4 linked regions of the Schizosaccharomyces pombe genome follow. The protein of the gene in region 2 binds, or shares a complex with, the protein of the main gene of each other region. Each region holds a gene or a part of one and is shown on either strand. Other genes may lie near its edges.

What was found.
Region 1: nuf2 (region 2) and spc24 share a complex: the UniProt entries of both Schizosaccharomyces pombe proteins name them as parts of the NMS super complex.
Region 3: nuf2 (region 2) and mis14 share a complex: the UniProt entries of both Schizosaccharomyces pombe proteins name them as parts of the NMS super complex.
Region 4: nuf2 (region 2) and mis12 share a complex: the UniProt entries of both Schizosaccharomyces pombe proteins name them as parts of the NMS super complex.

The regions. Positions count from the first base shown.
Region 1 is NC_003423.3:2,752,204-2,759,888, reverse strand, and holds spc24 (protein Spc24), read right to left. Parts: upstream 4,464-7,685; 5' UTR 4,385-4,463; coding exon 4,231-4,384; exon of another isoform or gene 4,184-4,230; coding exon 3,848-4,183; exon of another isoform or gene 3,718-3,847; coding exon 3,611-3,717; 3' UTR 3,585-3,610; coding exon of another isoform or gene 2,082-3,584; 3' UTR 2,018-2,081; coding exon of another isoform or gene 1,907-2,017; 3' UTR 1,129-1,906; coding exon of another isoform or gene 655-1,128; 3' UTR 501-654; downstream 1-500. Other genes in the region: GARP complex subunit Vps52, read right to left, coding at 1-250; tif512 (putative translation elongation factor eIF5A), read left to right, coding at 655-1,128; RNA polymerase I general transcription initiation factor subunit Rrn7, read left to right, coding at 1,907-2,017, 2,082-3,584; transcription factor TFIIIC subunit Sfc3, read right to left, coding at 4,955-7,685. UniProt on the Schizosaccharomyces pombe protein: Acts as a component of the NMS (Ndc80-MIND-Spc7) super complex which has a role in kinetochore function during late meiotic prophase and throughout the mitotic cell cycle.
Region 2 is NC_003424.3:4,321,020-4,326,364, reverse strand, and holds nuf2 (protein Nuf2), read left to right. Parts: upstream 1-3,141; 5' UTR 3,142-3,157; coding exon 3,158-4,483; 3' UTR 4,484-4,845; downstream 4,846-5,345. Other genes in the region: SPOM_SPAC27F1.05C (aminotransferase), read left to right, coding at 1,259-2,713; ubiquitin hydrolase Uch1, read left to right, coding at 4,890-5,345. UniProt on the Schizosaccharomyces pombe protein: Acts as a component of the NMS (Ndc80-MIND-Spc7) super complex which has a role in kinetochore function during late meiotic prophase and throughout the mitotic cell cycle.
Region 3 is NC_003424.3:3,112,547-3,117,504, forward strand, and holds mis14 (MIS12/MIND complex Mis14/Nsl1), read right to left. Parts: upstream 2,001-4,958; 5' UTR 1,867-2,000; coding exon 1,817-1,866; exon of another isoform or gene 1,731-1,816; coding exon 1,583-1,730; exon of another isoform or gene 1,454-1,582; coding exon 1,019-1,453; 3' UTR 906-1,018; downstream 1-905. Other genes in the region: cwh43 (glycosylceramide biosynthesis protein), read left to right, coding at 1-754; SPOM_SPAC688.03C (AMMECR1 family protein), read right to left, coding at 2,070-2,427, 2,557-2,780; glutathione S-transferase Gst3, read right to left, coding at 3,521-4,249. UniProt on the Schizosaccharomyces pombe protein: Acts as a component of the NMS (Ndc80-MIND-Spc7) super complex which has a role in kinetochore function during late meiotic prophase and throughout the mitotic cell cycle.
Region 4 is NC_003423.3:1,136,341-1,142,038, reverse strand, and holds mis12 (MIS12/MIND complex Mis12), read left to right. Parts: upstream 1-2,420; 5' UTR 2,421-2,511; coding exon 2,512-3,291; 3' UTR 3,292-3,508; coding exon of another isoform or gene 3,509-3,671; 3' UTR 3,672-3,836; coding exon of another isoform or gene 3,837-3,922; 3' UTR 3,923-3,974; coding exon of another isoform or gene 3,975-3,983; 3' UTR 3,984-4,286; downstream 4,287-5,698. Other genes in the region: SCF ubiquitin ligase complex subunit Skp1, read right to left, coding at 1,234-1,254, 1,300-1,667, 1,742-1,789, 1,843-1,891; protein Swi5, read right to left, coding at 3,509-3,671, 3,837-3,922, 3,975-3,983; NifU-like protein nfu1, read left to right, coding at 4,450-5,232. UniProt on the Schizosaccharomyces pombe protein: Acts as a component of the NMS (Ndc80-MIND-Spc7) super complex which has a role in kinetochore function during late meiotic prophase and throughout the mitotic cell cycle.

The sequences.
Region 1 (7,685 bases), on a different chromosome or scaffold from region 2:
CAGGTGGAAGAATCGCACCATCAATCTCTGCTCCAAGTGCTGACTCCACTGCCTTCAAATTGTTTAAATTTACTTGAATTTTGTTTGAGCGCTCACTGACTTTGTAGATATCACTAGTAGCGACATCCAGATCCACCTGGAATCGCTCCAAAGAGCTCAGAACATCATTCAACACTGACTTGAGAGAATCAAGTTTGTTTAGATCATCACCACTTCCATCATAAACATCCTGGGTAGAAGCTCTCTGCATGCCGGACTTATTATACTGTACCTATAGATGTTATATCTCAACGTGACAGCTGCATCCCAGAACAAATGGAAGGTATAATCCTGCAAATAGTTAGTTTGGTAAGTTAAGGAGGGTTAAGTTTAATTTAGGTGTTGTTTATCACCCTGGTTTCGGCGCTTCCATCAGTGTTAAGCCTGAACAATTTAATGTAATCTAACGATACGTCAAATAATTATGATGAGTTACTTTACGAATTTTAACGTTGCAAAGGTATACTTCAAATAACATGTATTACGTTTTACTTCACTGCACTTAGTTTGGTTGCTTTAGGGTAGGGTTAAAGCAATCTCACATGGAAAAAGTAGTCACATTTAACAAATGGGAAAGTGATGGGCATGTTCATACAGAAAGAGCATAAACCAACAATGGCAGAAGAAGAACACGTCGATTTCGAGGGTGGTGAGGCCGGTGCCTCTTTGACCTTCCCTATGCAATGCTCTGCTTTGCGTAAGAACGGACACGTCGTCATCAAGGGCCGTCCTTGCAAGATCGTCGACATGTCCACCTCTAAGACTGGTAAGCACGGACATGCCAAGGTCCACATTGTTGCCCTTGATATCTTCAATGGTCGCAAGTACGAAGATATGTCTCCCTCTACTCATAACATGGACGTTCCTGTTGTCAAGCGTGACGAATACCAACTAGTCAACATTGATGATGGCTACTTGAACCTCATGACTACCGATGGTACTACCAAGGACGATGTTCGTCTTCCCGAAGGCGAACTCGGCAACGAAATTGAAGAGGGCTTTGAAGAGGGTAAGGATTTAATCATTACCGTTGTCTCTGCCATGGGTGAAGAGATTGCTCTCGCTTGCCGTGATGCTCCCAGCGCCTAAATATAAACCCTCTTCCCTTTAAAAATGGTCGTTTAGTAAACAAGTTTTGCTCCTCCTTTACCATATTCATTGTTTGTTTAACGATTTTTGTAAATAGAATGTTCTTTGGAATCTGTAAACGTAAGACTTCTTATATATCTGATAGTTTTAAGATAAATTAGATTATGGTTATATATTCGTACTACGGGTATGTATCAAACTGCTTGATGGCTGTTATTTTCTCTTTTAAATGTATCAGTAGCACCTTTTCTTCAGCCTATTTTAACTTTCCTCAATTTTTATCCTAGTTTCAACCTTTATGTCTCAAGGTTGGATACCCGAGGTAATATATAATCTAGAGTGGACTTGCAGTTTTTATATAATGGCTTTTCACAATAGTTAATCAATGTATGCACTATCTACCAAGCCGTTACAACTCATATGTATTAACGTGGCGCCCGTTAGATCTCAAAAACTGCCTATCGCTACTGACTGACTAACAGTCTACTGTGATACATTTGTGAAGGATTTATCCAAAACTATATAAACGGTATTTCGCAGCTGAAAGAAAATCTGTTAGGTTTTTTCAGTCGATTCATACTTTCCAAAATATTGGTAAAATGCTGGCATAGCAGTTTATAAATAACAACACCGTTAGAAACTGTGCAGATCTTTTTACAAATGCTTACCTACTTGAATACCCTTTAAGTGTTTTGTTCTCTTATTTTTCTTCGTCTATAGTTCACTGTTTGTACTTTTAAATAAGTCTGCATCTATTTGCATATCCAGTTCCTTTACAATGGAAGGCAATTGGTTTGAAGGTCCGCCTTGTTCTGTAAGAAACTGCAAAAGTACTTGGTATTTTAAAAATGCAGGTCAAACATTTTGTCGTCGTGGTCATGCTCAACATGTAAGTTGTTTTTAATAGGTTTGCGCTTTAATGAATGTTCATTAATAAAATTGTTAAATTTTAGGGAATTGAAATCGCTCAAGATGATGAACCTGGTGCAGGGACTTTTTATCAAACTCGTAAAAGAAAGGTTGTTCGCAACCATCTAGACACTGGAGATGAAGATGAGATTGTTTATGGTACCGCTGGTAGAAGCTTATATCTTCAGGCTTTTCAAATTATTCTTCAACTTCAATGTCAAGCGTTAACTACGAAACTCGGATTTGACCAAAGAATAGAAGGCATGATACGTGACCTTTGGGCGCTTTACCTTTCCCTGTCTTATGAATCATTTACTTCTAGTTTTCTTTCCCTCAACCAAAATTCAACGCAATCAGAATCATCAGATTCGGATTTTGATCTCATAGATCCTGAGAGTCAACCGGGAGCTGATCCGAGCTCAAGAAAAACGAAGGAAACTTCTCAGTCGCATTCTATATCTTATCCTCGGCTTTTATACTCTTCTGCCTTTATTTATGTCGCCTGTCTTTTACTAAGACTGCCTCTGACCATTCATAAACTCGAAGTTTTAATAAGGAAAAATATTATTCCATATTATAGAGCGTATAAACAGATACCTCTAAAAATATTTAAAAGGCTTCAAAAAAACTATGTAAGGATGCTAATTCCTTTTCATTATCCAACGTATCAACGCATACAATCCGCTGTCTTGACATTGGTTGACGTTTTAGTATCTAAATACGAACTAAAAGTTCCTCCACCTAATGAGCCATTGATACTTTTTGAGCTTATTAACAGTTTCTTTTTTCCCTTAGAAATCTTCATACCTGCTTCTCGTTTACTAAATCTCGTTCACTCGCAGATTTCACTTCAAGGTACCTCTAGCGATAATTATCAAAGCAAAATACGCAGTGCTCAATCGATACATGAAAAGTTATCTGATGCGGAGGTTATGTTACTCGCTACCATCTTAGTAGCAGCAAATGTATGTTATGGGTTTGATGATGCCCAAACTCGAAATTCCAAATACAAAGACTCGATGTTCACTGTTAAAACCAACTGGAACATGTGGTTATCCCAAGTGCAAAAAATTAATGAGAAAGAAAAAGACAAGTTCTACGAGATAGACGAGCAATCCATTTTGACGCTCAATAACTCTGAAATGGATAAATATTTTCAATGGTATGAAAAAGAGTTTGTCGAAGAAAACAACCCAAATAATATTCCAGAAGGAATTCTTAACGTATTTCCGATTCTTTCGAAAGACAGCCATTTACAAGAAAATCAACCTACAGATATACTCACCGACGAATCCGTCATTGCTGAAGATGTAAAGTTAGAACAAGTGTTCAAACCTGTAGGCATTAAAGAGTCTGATAAAATGGACTTTTCACGACGAAAGGATGCTTATATATCAATGCTTCCTTTTTCACCTAATACAGAAAATACAGCTCATCGGGTTACTATCATGGTAGCCAAATTGTATAATATCAAATTGGATTCTCTTATAGCGGCCATTCGTTATGTTGAGTCATGTTTAAAAACCGGTATACACAATCAAGATTAAATAAATAAATAAAATAATAGTGCCATCTATTTTTTGTCCTTACTATCATCAAGCAAATCCCAAAAATAATTAGAATAAAAATATGGGCTATACTTGTTGCTGATTTGTACCGTTTGCAAATCGTTTTCGGTATCTAGGAAAGTGTGAGTAGATTCGAAAAACAGTTTTAAAGTTCAATTTTAAAGCTTGAATTTTTCATATCATCAAGCTTTTTAAAGATAAAAAATTGAAAGGTAAATTCAAATTATGAGCAAATGACATACGTATTATAACCCTTTTATTCCCAGTGTTCTCAGCAGTTTCTAAATCGAAGCCTAAAGAATGATAAAAGTTCAGCTTTAACATATTCGCATTTTCCTCTGACTGACATATGTCTTCAGAAGTATTTTCGCGTTCCTCAAGTTGTAGTAGCTGTTCCTTCATTTTCTGCAATTGAGATTCTAAACTCATAATTTCGTTCTCAGTGATATTCAACAACTTGGCTATCCTAAATTTCTCCTTTTCCCTGCTTAAAATCTCCTCAGCGTGTTGTGATGACTCTGCTGTTTGTTTTAATGACTCCATAGCCTGGGTAGATATTTCTAATTTTCTTGAAAGCACTATTCACAGTTAATGCATGGTCGTTTATTTCTAGATTAAAACTAACCTTTAAATTTGGTTTGAGATCCTTCCAATTCTTTTTCTCTGAAGCTCTGTATCTGTGCGCGAATGTCTTGAATGTTTGAGATGGTTTTCACATCTGGTGCAATTTGAAAACCAGCAAGCGTGGACCGCATAAGTTCAATTGGACTGTCTGACATATTTACTTCTCTTTTATTTATGTTCTTTTGTGTTTAAAAAGTAATTTCTTTGAAAACTTTCAACGTGGTCGTAACGTACGAAAAGGTACGAATGATGCTACCGTAAATAAAGTATGGTTAGAAAATCAACCTTACTCTACTAATATATATATATATATATATATATGCATACGTAAATTAGTTAAACAAATCTACATGATGCAGGTTTTTTCTTTTTTCTATAGGAGCTAAAGTTATGTACATAAAACAGAAAGAAAAGAGATAACCTCGATTCAAGTTTTCTTCACCTTTTCAGCAAAACAGTCGATGAAACCTTTTTGATTTTTATACGATATAAAGTTTAGATGGAAGAAAACGCGAAATCAGATTAATTCAAAACACGCTAATATAATTAATTATAGATTAGAAGCAGACACAGCGTGGTATCTTTTAGATAATTTAAAAATGAATCCTAAATACTGTACAAATAAACATTAAATCGTTGCTTGTAATATAAATGTTCCAAATCGACAAGCCTATTGAAAGAAAATACTCAGCTTGCATCATCTCATCATGGTGACATTTAAAAGGCTAAGTTAATTTAAAGAGATAATTATGGTTTAGATATAAGCCATCCTTTTCAATAGCGGCACCTGCTGCTATAAAGTAATCAAGTACTTCGTTAAACTCACGGGGTTCTAATCCGGGAAATAGTAAGTTAGTCAGTTGGGATCTCAAGATTCCGGGTTTTCGAAGCAGTTGGTATACAATGGACTGCTCGATATTCATCCATATCATCTCAATAAGCTCGCATTTACCATTTAACCATAGCCGTGGCTCATGCGAAGGTGGAGTTGCCAACTTTTCAGTAACACCATAATTTTTTTTAGATTCACTTTCTTTGCCGCTGAGAACAAGAGTTACATTGATATTGTCATGTTCTAGCAAACGAGTACGATAGCCTTCAGATAGACCATACTCATTAAACTTGCTTCCGACTATAGATATTTGCAACTTTCCTTGAGATAATAAATCAAGGATACATGCGAGAGTTCCACTGTTAGATGTTTCTTCAAATAAATGATTCTTATGATTTTGAAAACCCTCCAATAAAAATTTATTAAATCGCTTGGCTTGTGACAATAAAAATGGAGGTAAAGGAGACTTGAGGGAACTTGCAAATTTCTCCGTAAACTGGAAGTTTCGACCAGGCTGCAATCTACTGTTTTCTGAATTAACTCTAGTAATTATTCTCTTATCCAATAATTCTTGATGAGCAGCGATGAGAATATCTTCTGGATACTGCATAAGACGTTCTTGCGAAAACCGAGCATCATATGTAGCGTCTGGGATGGCAACGATGCTCTTGATAGTAGACTTCGCATCAAACAACTGACCTTTCTCACAATTCTCATCCCCTTCATTATTTTGTTTGTCATTTAAGGAAAGCGGCATGGTAAAAGGCATATCACAATACGCATTCATTTTCGAGGCAACTGACAGGGAAGGATCAAATATCATTTCCCGGAAATTAGTTTCTTGTTTAACAACCTCTATATTGTAAGTTTCATAAACGTCAACGAGGTCTCTCGGTAACCTAGTAGTAGCAAGATTTGAAGAACTAATCATATAAGGTCTACAAGACGCCTTAACATATGGGGTAGGATCAAAATCATCAACAGAATCAGGATATGGCATTAAATCTTTTCTTGAGACAGCATCTTTGTACATTTGCTGCCAATTTTCTGATAAAAACTGTTGCAAGCCTTTAAATTTTGTATGTTGTCTAATGGATAAATATCTTCTAGTAAGAGCATATATGTCCCGGTTAGGAAAGCATTTCTGTACAGCCTCCCATTTGATTAATCTGTTGGTCCCACCATAATAAATTTGAGTAATAACAACCGCTCTAATCAAGGTCTCATCCTCATCTGATGTAAAATCATTTTTGAAGCGTTTAACTGAACGTTTGCTTGCATGTTCAGTTGAAGAAAAATAATCAAATTCCTCCACTGAAGCGTATCTATCTTTCCGCAACTTTTTAGGTTTTTCTACTGGGCTTTTCTGTTGGGTATTTTCGTGCAGTGCGAAATCGGGAGCCAATGATTCTAAAAGTTGTTGCGCGAGTCTCATTGGATCGTCTTTCTCCTTTTCATTTTTCTTCACCTCCTCTTTATCAACAGGTTTAGTCTCAGAAGATTCCTTGTGACGTTTTATTTCCGCTGGCATAGATTTACGCCTTGACAAAGAAGTATTCCTTTTCAAAAAATCGACATCTACATCTTTTAATATTTCTGGAGTTGATTGTTTTTCGATTTCAGGAGTTGTAATTTGAGCTCTTAACTGTTGAAACCTAGGTGAATCAGGCTTCATATCGTATTGTACCACGATATCTTTTCTAACGAGCTTCCCAAGTCCATTGTTTGTTGCAATCACTAATTTACGAACCTTTTTCTCTTGCATTAATTTTTCAAGGGTTTGCTGAAAAGTTCTCCTATCCATAACGGTCCTAGAAGTTTCCGGGTTTCGTCGCACTTTAAGGTCTGCCAAGTCTTCAAACATCTTTCGAGATATTTCAAAAGCCCCATTCTGTTCAACGAGATAGGAAAGAATTAAACCTTTACGTTGTAGGAATATAAAGTCTACAGATTCCAAACGGCGCTTTTTCGTAGGGGATGAAAAGTTAGCCATTAGACTGCCTGTCGAATGGGATAATTGTGAGTCTACTGAAACGGGATAATGAAATGAAGAGTCTAAATCAATTGAGCTTTGAGAATCAGAGACTTGTAAAGAAGATGTGTTTCCATATTTTAGGTGATCTGGCGAACTAACCGTGAAATTCTTCGAAGGAACACTTGATGACACGTTCAAAAGAGGCTCCAAATGTTCTGCTTTTTTAACATGGTCTTCATTAAATTCTGGGTTTTTTAGAGGAGCAAGGCCTCTATAAATTCGTGACGTTTTCGAGGGTGTCAAAGATCCTGCTATGCTTAGGTTGCTACTAGTGCTAGGGGTAGAAATTGTAGCATTTTGGATGAACCCTTCGGAAACTGGTGAAATAGCAAGGGAAGGTAGATTATTTTCATTTTTAGAGGGCCGAATGGGAGATGAGGTTACAGAAATATTTGCAGATTTTCTAGGTCTACCTCTTTTTCTTGGCAATAAAGTCATTCCGTCGGGAGATACTTCCGCATTAGATTCCATATTTCCCTTATGATGTAGAGAATTTAAGAAAAGGGAAGAGTCAATTGGAGAAAATTCACCAGCGAGTGAGTGAACGTGAGGTAATAGCTTCGAAATTGTTTCGGCAGGAATGCCATCT
Region 2 (5,345 bases):
CAACATTGTAAACTGGATCGGACTATTCAATACCAACAAATACGATAGATCACTGTGTTGGCTTTGCGACACATCTTTATTTCCTCTTTCATTTTCGGCTACACCAAGTTCGGCCAACATTCACTCCGCGGTATCTTTAGATTACAAAGCTGAGCCGAATACGGGGATCTCAAAGTATATCAAGATCTACGAGATGCGCAGTGTGTAGAGAGTTACAGATTATAGCAGGAATGAAATTTCAATTTCTATCTCTAGGAAATTTAAGGCTCGGCGGTATTATCGCGACGGTCAAAAGAACTGATCGTTATATGAATATGAGATGATTTAATACATTTTATTAATTTTGAATTTATTAGATAAACTGATTCAGACAGAAAGCTGTCATTTATATCTTATTGTGACCTTTATAATTTATAATTTATTTATTTATTTTTGCTTTACAATTTATTATCCTAAAGACTGTATACGACAAGTGACAAATATTATTTTCATTTTTATCGTTTTAATATATCTATATTTATTTTATATTTAAAATTAAATATCCAGACACAGCTGAATGCCCTTTTTTAAACATTTTCCAATTAATTCATAAATAAATAAAAATTATTAAAAAAAAAACATGTAACCTTTATTACATAGATATCCACAATCAACACCAGTTTTATTTCAATAAATTAAATCACATAGTTTGATTCAATCTAATCTTTTTAATTAATTATTATTATTATTATTTTTTTTTTGCTTACTTTATCCTATGTAAAATAGTTCTGCGCAATCATTTGTTTCTGCTCCAACATTATTATTAGCGCCAAAGCTTTTTTGAACTAAATACACTTCATTGCATGATATTTTTTCTTGAATTCTTATAATTGAGACCAATTCTGTAATGATCAAATATTAGAGTATATCTTCTTCTCGGTTCTGCCCGTCGGCCAACTCGAAGGCTGTAGTACGCTAATTGCTATCTGGGCAGTACGACTTTGATCGGGGGATGTGAGAGAGGTAATAGCCATTTTTCGGTCAAGTACATAGGAATATGGCATTGATGATTTTTACTATATATATAGGCTAAAGCTGCCTGTGAATGCCAACAATTGTAAAAGGTTAACATTCATTCGACCTTTTCTTCAATCTAAGGAGTGGATTATACAAGGTAACCATATACTGTAAAGATTCATTTGGAAATTACATTTAAGAAGCTTTGAGTTAAGAACTATCTTTCCTGCTCGTTTATTTACGTTAAATTTACGCACTTATCATGATTGATTCCACGTCCACTGCTACTGCTACCTCAAAGACGGTTGAACTTAACACAAATGGTTCAAAAACCGATGCCTCCTCCGAAAATGGAACAGCCAGCAATTATCCTGAGGGTTTGTGGTGCTTCGACGAAGCCATGAAAATGGACCCAGAAACGACTGTCAAGTTACAACTCGACCACTTAAACAAGTTACGCACTGTCCATGGCCACGCTCGCAATTTTGTGAAAGCTGATAATTCTCGTTTTGTTGATGAAAAGGGTACTGAGCATCTGGACTTAATTGGAGGCGTTGGAGTCGTAACGGTCGGTAACAACAATCAGTATGTTTGGGATTGCTTACAGAAATGCTTTGATGCCAAGTTATATATGATGGGTGCCATTTCCTATCGTAACCTTGCAGCTGCCTTTGGTCGCAATATGGCTTTGCTATCTCCTGGTCAAAAACTTACTCGCACATGGACTGCAACCGGTGGTGCTGAAGCTAATGAGGGAGTTATTAAATTGATTCGCCTTGCTACCCGTTATAAGCCTAACAAGAAAAAGTTTCTTTCTACTTTGAACTCTTTCCATGGTAAAACCACTGGTGCCGTCTTTTTAGGCGGCAAAGAAAAATGGCAAAAATATCAAAGTCCTGCTCCTTTCGACGTTGACTACGTCCCTTACGGTGATGCGGAAGCACTTCAAGTTGCCTTATCCTCTGGTATGTACCGTTCATTCATTGTTGAGCCTATTCAAGGCGAAGGTGGTGTTATTGTCCCTCCTCCAGGTTATCTTGCAAAGGCTCGTGAACTTTGCACTAAGTACGATACATATCTCGTTTTAGACGAAATTCAAACCGGTTGTGGTCGTACCGGTAAATTCTGGGCCTGTGAATACGAAAACATCATTCCGGATTGTATCGCTTTCGCCAAAGGATTTTCAGGCGGACTCATTCCATTTGCAGGGTATATCGCTACAGAGGAGCTTTGGAATGCTGCTTACAATTCCCTTGAAACGGCTTTTCTGCACACTGCCACTTATCAAGAAAACACTCTTGGACTTGCCGCCGGTGTTGCTACCATCGATTATATCGTGCAAAACGACCTTCTTTCTAGATGCCGCAAGTTAGGTGGTATCATGTTTGATCGTCTTAATAAACTTCAAACAAAATTCCCTCATGTTATGAAGGATGTTCGTGGTCGAGGAATGATAGTTGGTATTGAATTTTATCCCATTCCTGAGTCAGTTCAAGAAGAATTCGGCGAATACTATGCAACTCCTATTGTCAATGACCTTGCCGATACATATCACGTCCAAGTCTACTGTTCACTCAATAATCCTTCAGTTTTCCGCTTCCTTCCTCCTTTAACTATTCCAGAAGCCGACTTAGACGAAGGTTTGTCAGCCGTTGAATCTGCTGTTGCAAAGTTTGATGCTAAGGTTAAGGAAGCTGTTGCAGCCAAGTCAACCTAAAACTTTGGTTTCATCTATCATTAGCCCTTTCAGGCTTTTAGTAAAGTTGGGTCATCAGGCATAAATGTTAATTTTTTTATCTTCTTATCTAGTTTCAGCTTTTATATGCTCCTTATATTGTTTCTTGCTTACATGCAACGTTTGAGATAAACCATCGATTGTAAAATTATATAAACTATATAGAACTATTTTAAATCAAATCGTTCACTTTTTAAAAAAGATATATAAAACGGAGTTGTTAATTTACTATGTATGACAGAAGAAAAACTTATACGAAATTCAGCTTTGTTCTTGATTTTTTAAAAAGAATGAAAAATTGAATATCTAGAACATGCAACTAAATAAAAAATTTAAATTTTATTTTATTATATTTATAATTAAATTCACAATCAAAGCAGATTAAATACGTAAAATCCAGTTGTTCAGTTAACCATCAACTTTACCATGGCACGAAAACACACATTTCCTTCTTTGAAGCGTGCTGAGATTTTAGAATGCATAGATGGTCTTGGAATTCCATTCACGGCTAAAGAGCTTGACCAACCAACCTCGAAAGCCGTCATCCCTCTGTATGAAGAATTTCTTGACTTGTTTATGGGGTTGACCCGCCAGAATTTAGAAGAGAAGGTTAATTCGTTACAAGATTCTGTCGAGAATTTCGAGATAATACATGAGTCTTTAAGATTTACTGTTTTTTATCAGATTTTAAGTCAATTCATGCAAAACATCTGTTTTCATGACTTTACGATTCAAGACCTATTGAAACCAGACAGAAATCGACTACAACTAATTTTATCAGCAGTTATTAATTTTGCAAAACTCAGAGAAGAGAGGTTACAGCAATTTGATGATGATATACAGAAGCGAGAAAGCCTTCTGGAAACGTATACCCTTTTAGATGCACAACGAAAAGATTTAGAGGAAAAAGTTTTGTTAAGCCAAGATAGGAAATTGGAAAGTGAGGCAATTATTAAACAGAATGAAGAAAGAAACGAAGAAATGTTTCAGTCTTTGATAGAAGACAAACGATTGTGCTCTCAAGTTCGTACAGAATATGATCGCATTAGAATGGAGGCCTCAGAGTTAAAGATTAGGTATCACAACGTCGATTCATTAATGGCCAGTACTTTGGAAGAAATTGAAAAACTTCAGTCCTCTATTGTACATTCTCCTGAAAAGCTGAAAGGAAAGATAGCAGACACATCGTTACGGATACAAAATGATCGGTCGCAGCAAGTGGAACTGGATAAAAAGTCAAAAATTCTGCATACAAAATTGAACAGTTTACAGTTAATTGAAGGAGACTTGAATGCTTGTTTGAAAGTGCTTGAAGAATGTCTTGTAGAATTGGATAAACTGGAACATGCTACTGTGTTGCTTTCTACAAATCAAGAGCTTTGCGATCAAATAGAAATAAACAAAAAAAAACTTGAGTTCAGAAAAGAACAACTTTTAAAGCAATTATCTAATGCTCAAGAAAAACTCGAGCATGAACAACATTCTCGAAATCAAAAACTTGAGGCTGCCAAACAACGAATGGACAACATACGGGAAGAATACAAAGTAATTACCCAAGAAAGGAATAAAAAGATTCAGGAGACTGAAAAGAAAAATGCCATGATAGAGATGACCGAACAAAAAATTGCTGGAATGCGAGAAGAACTGGAGTCTCAAATATCCTCTATAACTATGGAATTCGAAAAATTGAAATCGCACGTGGAGCTTTATATTGCTGAACTTCTCAGAAACTTAAGGTCTTCTAACTCTTAGTATCTTCATTTTGAAAAATCTTTATTCGTGCAAATATTTCAACACTACCTATAAGAACGTTGGTTGGACTTCGAAGCCAGAATTTTAGATTTTACAGTAAATGTATATAGGTAAATCTTGGTAATTATTAATATTTTATGACTCTATTTATAATATACCTATGGAACAATCCCTATTTTTACAGTCATCTTCATAGCTGAACGTGACAGGATATTGAAGTATAGGATACTGATTATAGTAAAGCTTTTTTGTAGATTCCCAAAATTGGCAATCTAAAGATATTCGATTAACTTTGTCAAACTTTGGTGTTTTGCCTCTTTGCTGACTTCTGAGACCTCTGCCACGCCTTCCAAACCTGATCAAAAAAGCCTCAATTAGAGCCATTTATCATTCGAGAAAAATTACAATGTGGAGGCCTTTAGAAAATACACCAGAGGTGCTGGAACCTTACTTACAAAAAATCGGTGTACAAGATGCTAGCGTTTTTGACCTGTTTTCATTAGAGGAAATCCCCGAATATATCCCTCGTCCTGTCCATGCTCTTTTATTCGTTTTTCCATCCTCAGGAACAAAAACTATATATAAAGGATCACGAATTTTACCAAAGGATAGTGACAAAGTCTTGTGGTACCCTCAAACAATTCCAAATGCTTGCGGAACGATTGGATTGCTACATGCGGTTTCGAATGGAGAACTTAGAAGAAAAGTCAATGAAAATGATTTTATTAAAAGTCTAATCAGAACTGCTGAAGGTTCATCTATCGAAGAAAGGGCTAAGCTTATCGAGGATTCGAAAGAACTTGAAGCTTTACATGCAGCATTTGCTGGTCCACCTTTGGAAGTAGAGGGGTCTGAGGAAGAT
Region 3 (4,958 bases), 1.2 Mb from region 2:
GTATGCAAGTGAGAATCGTATACGCGATGCTGTTCGAGATATGGAACTTGATGTCTTTGGTCTACTGGAATCTGACACACAACGTTTAATTATGGGATTTCGAGATTTAACCCAGGTTTTAGCACATGATCTAGGAATGTATGCGGATTATGGCCCAGGCCCTGATAAACATACTTGGGGCGCTGCGTTACTCTCCAAATTTCCTATTGTCAACTCGACTCACCATTTGTTACCTTCTCCTCAAGGAGAACTTGCTCCTGCTATTCATGCAACACTAGATGTCTACGGAGAGCTAATAGATGTTGTGGTTTCTCACAATGGTCAATATGAAAGTCAGTTGGATCGACGTCTTCAGAGCACTGAGTTGGCTCGAATTATGCGCGAGAGTCCAAGGCCTCTAGTGTTTCTCGGATATGTTGTTTCAAACGTTGGCCAAGAACCCCAAACTATTCTAACGCGAGACACGGGAATGTTAGACATTGAACCTGCTGACTATGATCGTTGGTGTCAGTATATATTTTATCGAGGTGTCAAGCGAATTGGTTATGCTAGACTTCATCGCTCTACTATAACAGACACCGAGCTTCAAACCGGAAAGTTTTTGGTTACCAAAGATTTAGGTAGGAACGTCAGAATCGACAAGGAACACGTTCCTGAATCACACAGGTATCCATCATTATTTGAAGGAACGGGTGTTAATGGACATTACTATGACAATAATTTAGTTGTTCACGAGCCGTGGTACTATGATTAAAATCACAAATTTGATTCATTTAAATTTCCATGGTTTTGAAAAGAAAAAGACTGATATAATTAGAATCAATATAAGCATTATACGAATTTGATAAACTATTTAATATGTTGTCTGCAGTTATGCACTGATTAATAAGATTTGTTAAGATTAGTACATTATGAATCAACCGGTTTGTTTCTGGTGAGCAGTTGGAATGAAGTATAAGTTGAGATGAAATAGCACTAAATTAATATTAGTTTACCCGTATATTAAAATTATTAATGATTAAGGAGTTTTTTCCAATCGGGCAACTACTCTAGGGAGATTTTTCTTTAAATATGCTACTTTAGCAATAGTCTGCTCGTATCGGTCGATGTCCTCTTTTCTAAACACAGTTGTCGAAGTTTGTTCATCCGGGTTTTCTACTTCTTTATCTTGGAGAGAAACATAGTCATCTTTCACGTTTCTTAAAAATGCGGTCTGTTGCTCCATCGCATCAACATATGCCTTTTCATATTGTGCTGGTACAGACTTTCGGTATCGAGCCACTAGGACATGAGCATCTTCTACTTCATTGAATAATTGTTGGACTCGAGTACGAAGAGCCAGATCAAATGGCTCAATTTGGTCGGAATTTTTTGGATCTTGCAAGGCTGAATTTGCATCAAAGCCATTGATTGTAACGTTTTCTTGTATTATTGAGAAAGTGGATTCAATCAGCTATATGTTAAGCATTAGTAATTGAAGAGGTCTCTCATTTTACTTTATATATATATATATTTTTTTTAATCGAAGCTGCTATGGAATTTCGACTTTATGGCTGATTAGAAGCGTGTACTGTATACTCACCTCGTTTAACATTTCTTTGACTCGAATTCGCAATTGGTCTTCACGACCCATTCCAGCTTCCCGTGAAGCTTGTTCTGGTAAATGAATAGCAAGTTTTTCTTGTATGGCTTGACGAAACACCGATTTTACGTAACTGTAATCGTTGATACTTATAAAGTGTTAAAATCAGATTTTCTAATTTCAAATTAAAAGCATAAATAAAAGCTCTAAACTACATGGGATTATGAAACACACCTTTCCAATGCAATTTTTGGTAAAACGCTAGCATCTCCGTGAGACGACATGAATGCTAGAAAGAAATGTTTTTCTTTAAGAATATATGATTAATAGATTAGAATATATTAAGAGAAAGTTAAATTTTTAGCTGAGAGATAGAAATCATTAGTCTGAAAAGAATTTGGATGTGATAGTACTGGCTGAAAACTTAAGCGATAGCTTAATTACGCTATGTAAATAGATAGAAAAGAACCATTGTATATAGATCAGGTTATCCCAGAAGCTCCAAATTATGAAGATATTCTTCATAAGTACACCCGATTTCCAAGGACTTATAGCGAGTAGCAGTTATTTGTAAAGAACGTATTGATCCATAGTAGCCTGCTTTATGTATCAAGCTTTCTAGGGTTTCCTCTTGATCCCAACGTTGTTCAGCCGCTACAGAAGGTAGATAAGTCGAAGAATAACGAATTCCATTTGCCGTAAATTTAATAGACACGCCATGTATGCCAACTTCCCAATCTAATGGATCATCTATCGGTTCAAAGTCGACTAACAAGTCTATCTGGCACTCTAAAAGAGCCAATTCTCCCAAGGAGATAGGACGAAAACGTTCATCACAAAATGCACTATTTTTAAAATGTTGTATTAGCATTCGGTTACTCTTCTTTTCAATTTCATCGGCAATTTCATACGAAGGTCTATGATTTATCATTGACGCCTACAACGAACTATGAACCATTTTTAGACACACTTACGCTTGTTTACTGAAATATGTTAAATTTGTAACTAAAGGACGTGCCCGGAAAGTTCCAATGCAACCTCGTAGTTGTTTATCATGGCCTTTTCCAGATGCAAACTTTACGAACAGAGGGATACTACGGGTCCAACTCTTTGCATTCCACTTGTCTCGGACCTTTCGATGCTCTAAAGTTGCAGCAACTACTTCAAAGCAATAATAACAATACTCTTTCTTGTCCATTTATATTAGTGGTAGTAGCAATTGCCTACGGACGCTTTCGGTACAATTTGTAAGCCATGGTATTTTATTCATACATCATTCCAACTTTCTTTGTTTAAGGATGGCCAACAAATCATACGTTGTAAGTGATTACGATAACGTCCAAGTTCATTATACTGTTTCATGTTTCATGTTAAAAAAAGTTAGTTAGTAGGGCCCTGTTTATGTCTTCTGTCATAAAGTGAAAGAAAATGGAGAACTTGTTTAACTGTACACTAAAGCATTCTTTACAAAATAAATACTCTTCTAAGTTTTCACTACCTAGTTAAACAATTCATGCAACAGCAGCAAAACTTATTGAATTCAAAAGTAGTCATATATAAATTAACATTAAATCAAAAACAAGATTTGTAACCATAACTTCTTTTTCAGACTAAATAACAGTAACATGTTCCCATTCACAAAACTAGATGTATACGCGTATATAATATATATATATATGTATAGAGAGGGAGACAGATAAAGAGAGAAAAGTCCAAGCGTTTAAGCACCGAAGCCTTGTTTCTTGCATCGGAAAATCATTTCAAAAGGGGTGTCGCAAAAATTTTTATGTAGTTACCACAATATCCTAGTTATTGTACAAATCATTATCTACATTAACAGCATAAGTTCCGTACAAGCAGAATAAAAAAGTAAGCTTGCTGAAGCCTTGTATGTCTCAAGCCGACTTGCTTAAGAAAAAAAGAGCCACGGCAGAAATCTTATTCATCAGAGCGAACTTGCTCGGGAGGAGGGGTAGGGGGATGGGAGTACCTTTCCACATCAGAAAACAAAGTCAACGTATTGTCTTCAACTTTTTCAGCAGCAATTCGACATGCAGGCCTATCACTGACAACCCGCATCCAACGCTTAATATTTTTGTAAGGTTTCTGAGATAGGTAATCTCTTTGAGCAGCAAATATAGGAAAGCACATCTGCGGGTCCGCAGCGGTGAACTGTTCGCCTGCAAAGTATTCGTTCGATGCGAGGTGATTATCAATGTAGTCAAGGTTCAAAAATGTTTCTTTACTTAGATACTTGGATTTTATCCCATTCACAAACTGGCGAACAATATAACGAAAGAAAATGGGAGTCATGTTCACACTAAGATCCAAAACATGACTTGCCCAAATAAATGGCATAAGAGATGCTTCAGAAAAGTGCATCCATAATTCATATTTTTCCAATTCGGCAACATCCTCTTCTGAGGGTTTAAATGACGGTCCATACTTTCTGACCAGGTGCTCCAAAATGGCTGCACTTTCAATGTAAGTGACACCGTCATCGACAACGATAGGACTCTTGCCTAATGGTGACAACTTAGTATACGCTGGGGGAGCACGTCCGTCGACACGGTCATAAACTTTGATTTCATAAGGCACTTTGAGTTCTTCGAGCATCCATACAATTCGAGTAGAGCGAGAGTTCTTTAAGTGGTGTAAAACAATCATATCTGGTTACAAAAATAAAAACAAAATCAAATTGAATACTCAAAATAAATACTTTCTAAGATGCAATAATTTCGATCAAAGAAGGGAAGTATGTGGGAATTGGAATGTATATATGGGTGCTGCTGCGTCTACACCTCATATGCACGTCAGTCACCGAAATATATAGTGGCGTATGCAACAAATACGCAAAACACTTTATGTTTGCTTAAGAAAAAGATACAGTAGATATAGGAATGAAATAACATCTTCATTTGAATTGCTATCACTAGTCCGTCATGAGCCCGCTGTAAAGGTGCAGTACTAGATTTATATGAAAGACCAATTTTACTGTTGTAGTCAGTACATTTATACTAAAAGAGCAGCAGTTGGATTTACTTGGCATTCTGACTGACATATGAAAAGAAGTTCAGTGGTTGAATATCACAATACAGAAGCCATATTTTACATAAATTGGAGTTACGGTTTTTTCATAGTTAACAACGTATACTGCCTTGTAAAACGTGGTGTTAACAAAAAAGTTATAGTACTAAATTTGTATACCGAATATTCCAAAATAGTTCATAGACAAGCTATCTCAAACAGTTCAAACTGTTTCCAAAGACCAAGCAAGATATAATGATTAGTTTTTGATTCCAATAATATATGTTACTCGTTATAACACATAAAAGATATCTTGATTTTTCCTCAGCACTGCTGCAAAGGACGATTC
Region 4 (5,698 bases), on a different chromosome or scaffold from region 2:
ATCTTGAGTTTGTAAACAAAACAATAATTATCCATTTAACAATTATAAATTAAGAATTGATACTTTGTGGATAATAATAAATCAATTAAATTTTTTGTAGTTTTTTATTTTTTGAACGCCGATTTTCTGGCTGAAATTCTAGTTACATGCCTCAAACGGACAGGTTCGTTAACTTAAAATTCAACATCGAAATATTCTGTACTTTTTTAAATCTTTAAGTAATGTATAAAAAACCAGTATGAAATTTTGAAAATGTCAATTGAATTTACTCAAAACAATCAAAAATATTGACATCTACCATGATACATTAAAATGTTCATAATAAAAAATCAAATTAAATTAAAACATTAAAAGACTAAGGGGCATATAATTATTAATTGTGCACGAAAAAAATATAAAAATTAAATAAACTGTTCCCCAAAAATTGAAATGTTAGGATTCACAAATATTATCAAGCTATATTGAAGGGATGAAAACCGTTGACTAATTATCTAATTTTATTTATTTGCTAATTGTAACGAGTTCAAAAATTCTATTGTTCTATACAAAATTTGTAATTAATATGAATGTAAACTAAATTCACGCAATCATTAATTGTTAATTTGGAAGCTTGATATTATTACGATTCGCATTTTACATAGCTGCTGTCACTATTTTTAAGAAAAGAATCGGATTTTTTTAACAATTCATTGTTTAGCGCTATTATATTACAACACTTCTTTTTTTTTTTTTTTGTTATAGTAAACCGCTAATGCAAACTACATAGGACTATTAGCTCCAATCGTTCACCATATTGAATGGAAGAGTAAAGATAATCTTATTGATGAACATCCCTATTTTGTAACAAGACAAAAGCAAGCTTTAAGCAATTCGGGATAGTAAGTTCAACTTTCTAAATCGTAATTCACATACGTACTTAAAACAACAGTAAAAGATAACGAAATGTGCTTTGTTGGGATAAAATATGTTCATCAATGTACATTTGTATATATGCGATAATGAAATTGATTTGCTGCGACTTAATACGACCAGTGTTGGTACGTCAAGTATCAAGTGATCGCACGCATCGTGAAAACTTCAGTAGTAAAAAATCATCAGTATACTTTATATCAATTTTTTTTTTATAAAAAAAAAAAGGCGCATGATGAGGTGGATGGGAAGATTCCCATTTTACACTGAAAACTACACTTAATGATCCAAGGACAAAAAACTTTATACACAAAAAGCCACAAACTATCTGTCTTCGGCCCATTCCTGCAAGCGGTTAGAATTAAGTTAATAAAGTACCAAGGAACGTACATTTTCTTTACGGATTTGCTCTTCCTCCTCAGGCGTAAAATCATTAGGGATGTTAAATGTTTTCCGAATGTCCTCAGGACTCTTGCCACGAATCATGTTGGCAACGGTTTTACAACCAGTATCAAGCAAAGGTTTAATATCCAAATAATTGCTTGCCAAAACTATCTCGAACAACATTTCCTGGTCTACGGCCATAAACTTACGATCCCATTCATCAATATCGGTAGACTTTTTTAATCTAATGTCACTTTCCTCCTCAGTTCCTGAATACAAATCGTTTTTGTGATGCTCACACCATTCGAGTACCTTTCGCAAAACGTTCGATGATACGTTTGGAAGAGGAATGGGGACATTAATCTCACCAACGTCTATTGAAATTGAGATTTTAGTAACAGGGTCCATAATAATTATTGCACTCAACAAGCGCTTGTATAGATCATACCTTCAAGCATATTTTTTATAAGCATACTTCTCTCAGCGATCAGTTGATCTATAAACAGTTTGTCAATTCACTCAATTCAAAACATTCTCCGTTCTACATACCGACCACGAACTCTTCATTGTCAGATGAAATCAGTTTGATTTTGGACATTGTTGATGTATGTAAGTAATGGATGAATGAAAGTTAAGCTGTTAGCATTTCTAGTTATGCTGATATTCCTACAGTGGCAGAACTCACTAATTCGATATTGGGAAAAGGTGCTAACCCTCATTAAATCAAATTGCATAGCAGAACGATCCCACCGTGATAGCTAAAAAAGGCTACTGAAGAATAATAAAAGAAAGCATAGAAATTGAGGTTTAAGATGAGTCCGTACTATTAATGTATAATTCGAATATAGTTAATATTAGTGTATTCCTCCACTAGAGCTTAGTTGAGGATATAGAAACTCTAGTAATGATTTACCAAGCACAAATCAAAAGCCACACTTCTAAGCAACTAACAAAATAAACCGACTAAACTGTTAATCGCCTGAGTTATATGTTCCTCACAGCAATAAAAACAGCAACAAATCTATGTATTATTCATACTTTTTGATGGGATATACGGAAATCCCTTTTACCTCGTTATTATCATATCTGAGTACACCAGACAAAATGCAACATGGGGTTGGTACATTGCAGAACAACTTGCCGTTTAAAAATCATAACTCACTAGTTTCCTCTTTGGAAGCTAATCAGTGTTTTCAATGTAAAGGAATTAATTAAAAAATGTTAGTGGAGTTACTAGAATTCACTCCTCTCTCCTTCATTGATGATGTGATCAACATTACGAACCAACTGTTATATAAAGGTGTAAATGGTGTGGATAAAGCCTTTTCACAAACGCGGTTTGCTAAAAAAGCGCCACAGGAAATAGAAGAAGGACTACACAAGTTCGAGGTTCTCTTTGAAAGTGTGGTGGATCGTTACTATGATGGTTTCGAGGTGTATACACTTCGAAACATTTTTAGTTATCCACCAGAGCTAAAAGGCTACATGCGTACGTTTGGAAAGGATGTAGACTATTCAATCACAACAGAGCAAGACGCCGCCATGGATCAAGCAATTCAAGAGGCTGCAGAAAAACTCGTAGTAAAGATGCAACTACGTCGTGACCTTCGCATGCGTCTCAGCAGGAAAAGAGAAAAAAAAACAGAAATAGAAAAGCATTTGGAAAGAATTTCTTTTCTCAACAAAGTACCCGAAAATTGGCAAGTTACTTTACCAGAAACTACCGATTTCCTTCTTGATCAACTTGGTAATCTGCAGCATGCCGTTAAAAGAGTAGTTGAAGCCTCTCCCACTGTACACTCACGAGAGGTGGATGAAAGAATTACCTACTTAGAAAAAGGTTACGAACGATTATCTAATCCCATCGACCAGCAAAAGGATTTTTGGTCACATCACTTGTCAAAACTAGAATCGACAGCCAATACTGAAACTGCAAATAACATTCATAAGTTGCTATTGTCATCTGAAAAAGACGTCGGACATACTGACGAGCCTTAATACTAATCAACTAGCTAAAGTCTTGAGATGTTCTAACAATTGTGATCGTTTACGTAAACTTTCATAATAAATATATAAGAATTGGCGTTGGATCTCTAGCGAAAGCAAAGTAATGCTTAATAAAGAAAACTTGGATTGTCTCTGTCACTTTTTCCGTTACATTTTTATTTGTTTTGTTTAACTTCTCTTTTTTCCTAAATAACTGAATGGATAATAATTATTCTGACCCATTAACTCCAAATCTGTCAAACAATTCGACACTTGTACATTTTTCATGCTCTGCCACTTTGCCAATCATTCCCAAAGCAATATCCCGTATTTCATTATAGGTATGGAGTAGATCGATATGTTTTTGTACAGTTTGCTTAGCATCTCGATTTCTAAATCATTTGTCAACATTAGATAAAACGAGACAAGCTTGATGATGACTTGAATAGATTTGATGGAACGGCAATACATTGCTTTTCCCAAAATGAACCTGAACGCGCGTAAAGGCGCATAACTCATATTTTCTACCATTTCTAGCATCACTTTACCACACTTACTTTAGCTTAGCTAAAGCGTCTTGTAAACTACTTTCCAATTGCTCCTTCTGCTGTTCAAGCAAATGGACGCGTGACTCAAGTTGAGACTGCAGTAATTCATCAGTATTTTGTGAATGAACAATGGTACCGTTGGCTTACCTTTTCCATACGATTTAAACAGTTCTTTCTTAATGAAGCAATGATGTGTGAAATTTACTAGGAAGGTATCTGTTTTTGAACACCTAGTAGAAATTAAGTTGTTGAGGAAGGCAGGAGCCTACCGATTTGTTCAATTGAAAACAATGTCTATTGTTCTTGTAAGAGAGAATTTAGATTAGTGATGAAAGACAAGTAAATTGTTGAATCACGAACAATGGCTTATTTCAATATAATGAACTTCGCTAATTTGTATAAGAAAGTATAAGGATCACATCGGTTTTCGTATGCCCATGTACAAATTGCCTTCTTGCATGTATTTAAAGAATTGCTTACATTAGCATTTCCTGATTTAAAAATTGTTAATAAACATTTAAATTTTCCCATCTGTTTGAAGTGTATACTTAAGAAGTTTCAAATTCTGAACTTGTCTTAATATTTTGTCTCTTATTGGATAAAGCACGATTTGATTCCAAGCATGTTATTTCCTAGAGTTGTGCCGTTTCAATCTTTAAGGACAGCATTCCAAAAGAAAACCTTTTTACCAGTATCTTCAGCTGGTAACGTTTTCACTCCACGTTTCCAATTGCAAGCAATTCGCAGCATATGGATCCGATCGGAGGAGACACCGAACGAAAACGCTTTGAAGTTCCTGCCAGGGCTAGATATCTTGCCTCCAACTATCGGAAGCTGTGAATTCATGAGAGGACAAGGAACTGTGAATTCTCCATTGGCACAGAAACTATTTGATATAGATGGAGTTGATAGCATTTTTTTTGGAAAGGACTTTATTACTGTTTCCAAGGGAGCAGGAACTGAATGGGCTCAAATGAAGCCAGAAGTGTTTAGTGTAATTATGGAGCATTTAAGTAATGGAAGCCCAGTACTCTCTGAAGAGCCTCTAAAGGGGGCTAGCGATACTCAAATATTAGAAAGCGACAGTCAAATTGTTGCAATGATTAAAGAACTGATCGAGACTAGCATTCGTCCATCTATCCAAGAAGACGGTGGTGATGTGGAATTTAGAGGGTTTGATGAGAAGACAGGTACCGTTTCTCTTAAACTTCGAGGTGCATGTCGAACCTGTTCGTCATCAGCTGTGACACTAAAAAATGGAATTCAGCAAATGCTGAAGCATTACATTCCGGAAGTGGAAAATGTTGTACAAGTTTTAGATCCAGAAGAGGAGGTTGCAATTGCCGAGTTTGAAAAATTTGAACAGCGCATTAACGGAAACAAACAGAAAGCTGATAACAAGTAACTTTTTCCATTCAACATAGGGAATTTGGTTCATTTAAAAGACTTTGGTGATAGAAATTAATAATTGACGAACAAAACGCTATTTATGAGTTTTAAGAAAAAACAGCAAATAACAATGAATATTTACACTGTATTCGATAAAAAACACATACTACTATATAAGACGATTTGTTTAATCATATAATGTTACTTTCTTGGTTCATTTTCGACTGCAAATTTTATGTACGAATAATGAAGATGTGTATCATATAAACTACAGGTTTCATCAACACCTGTATTATTCAGAGATATTTAAATGTTTTAATAATAGCGAGGGTACATATTTATGAAATAAATAAGTAAAAATTTTGAAATACTGTTGGAATGTTTCGTTGATGTCCCTGTACGCAGATGACTATTTTCGAAATTTGAAAAGGAGAATTGATACACAGAACGGAGTTGAGTTAATGTTAGCCTTTGGCTCTCTT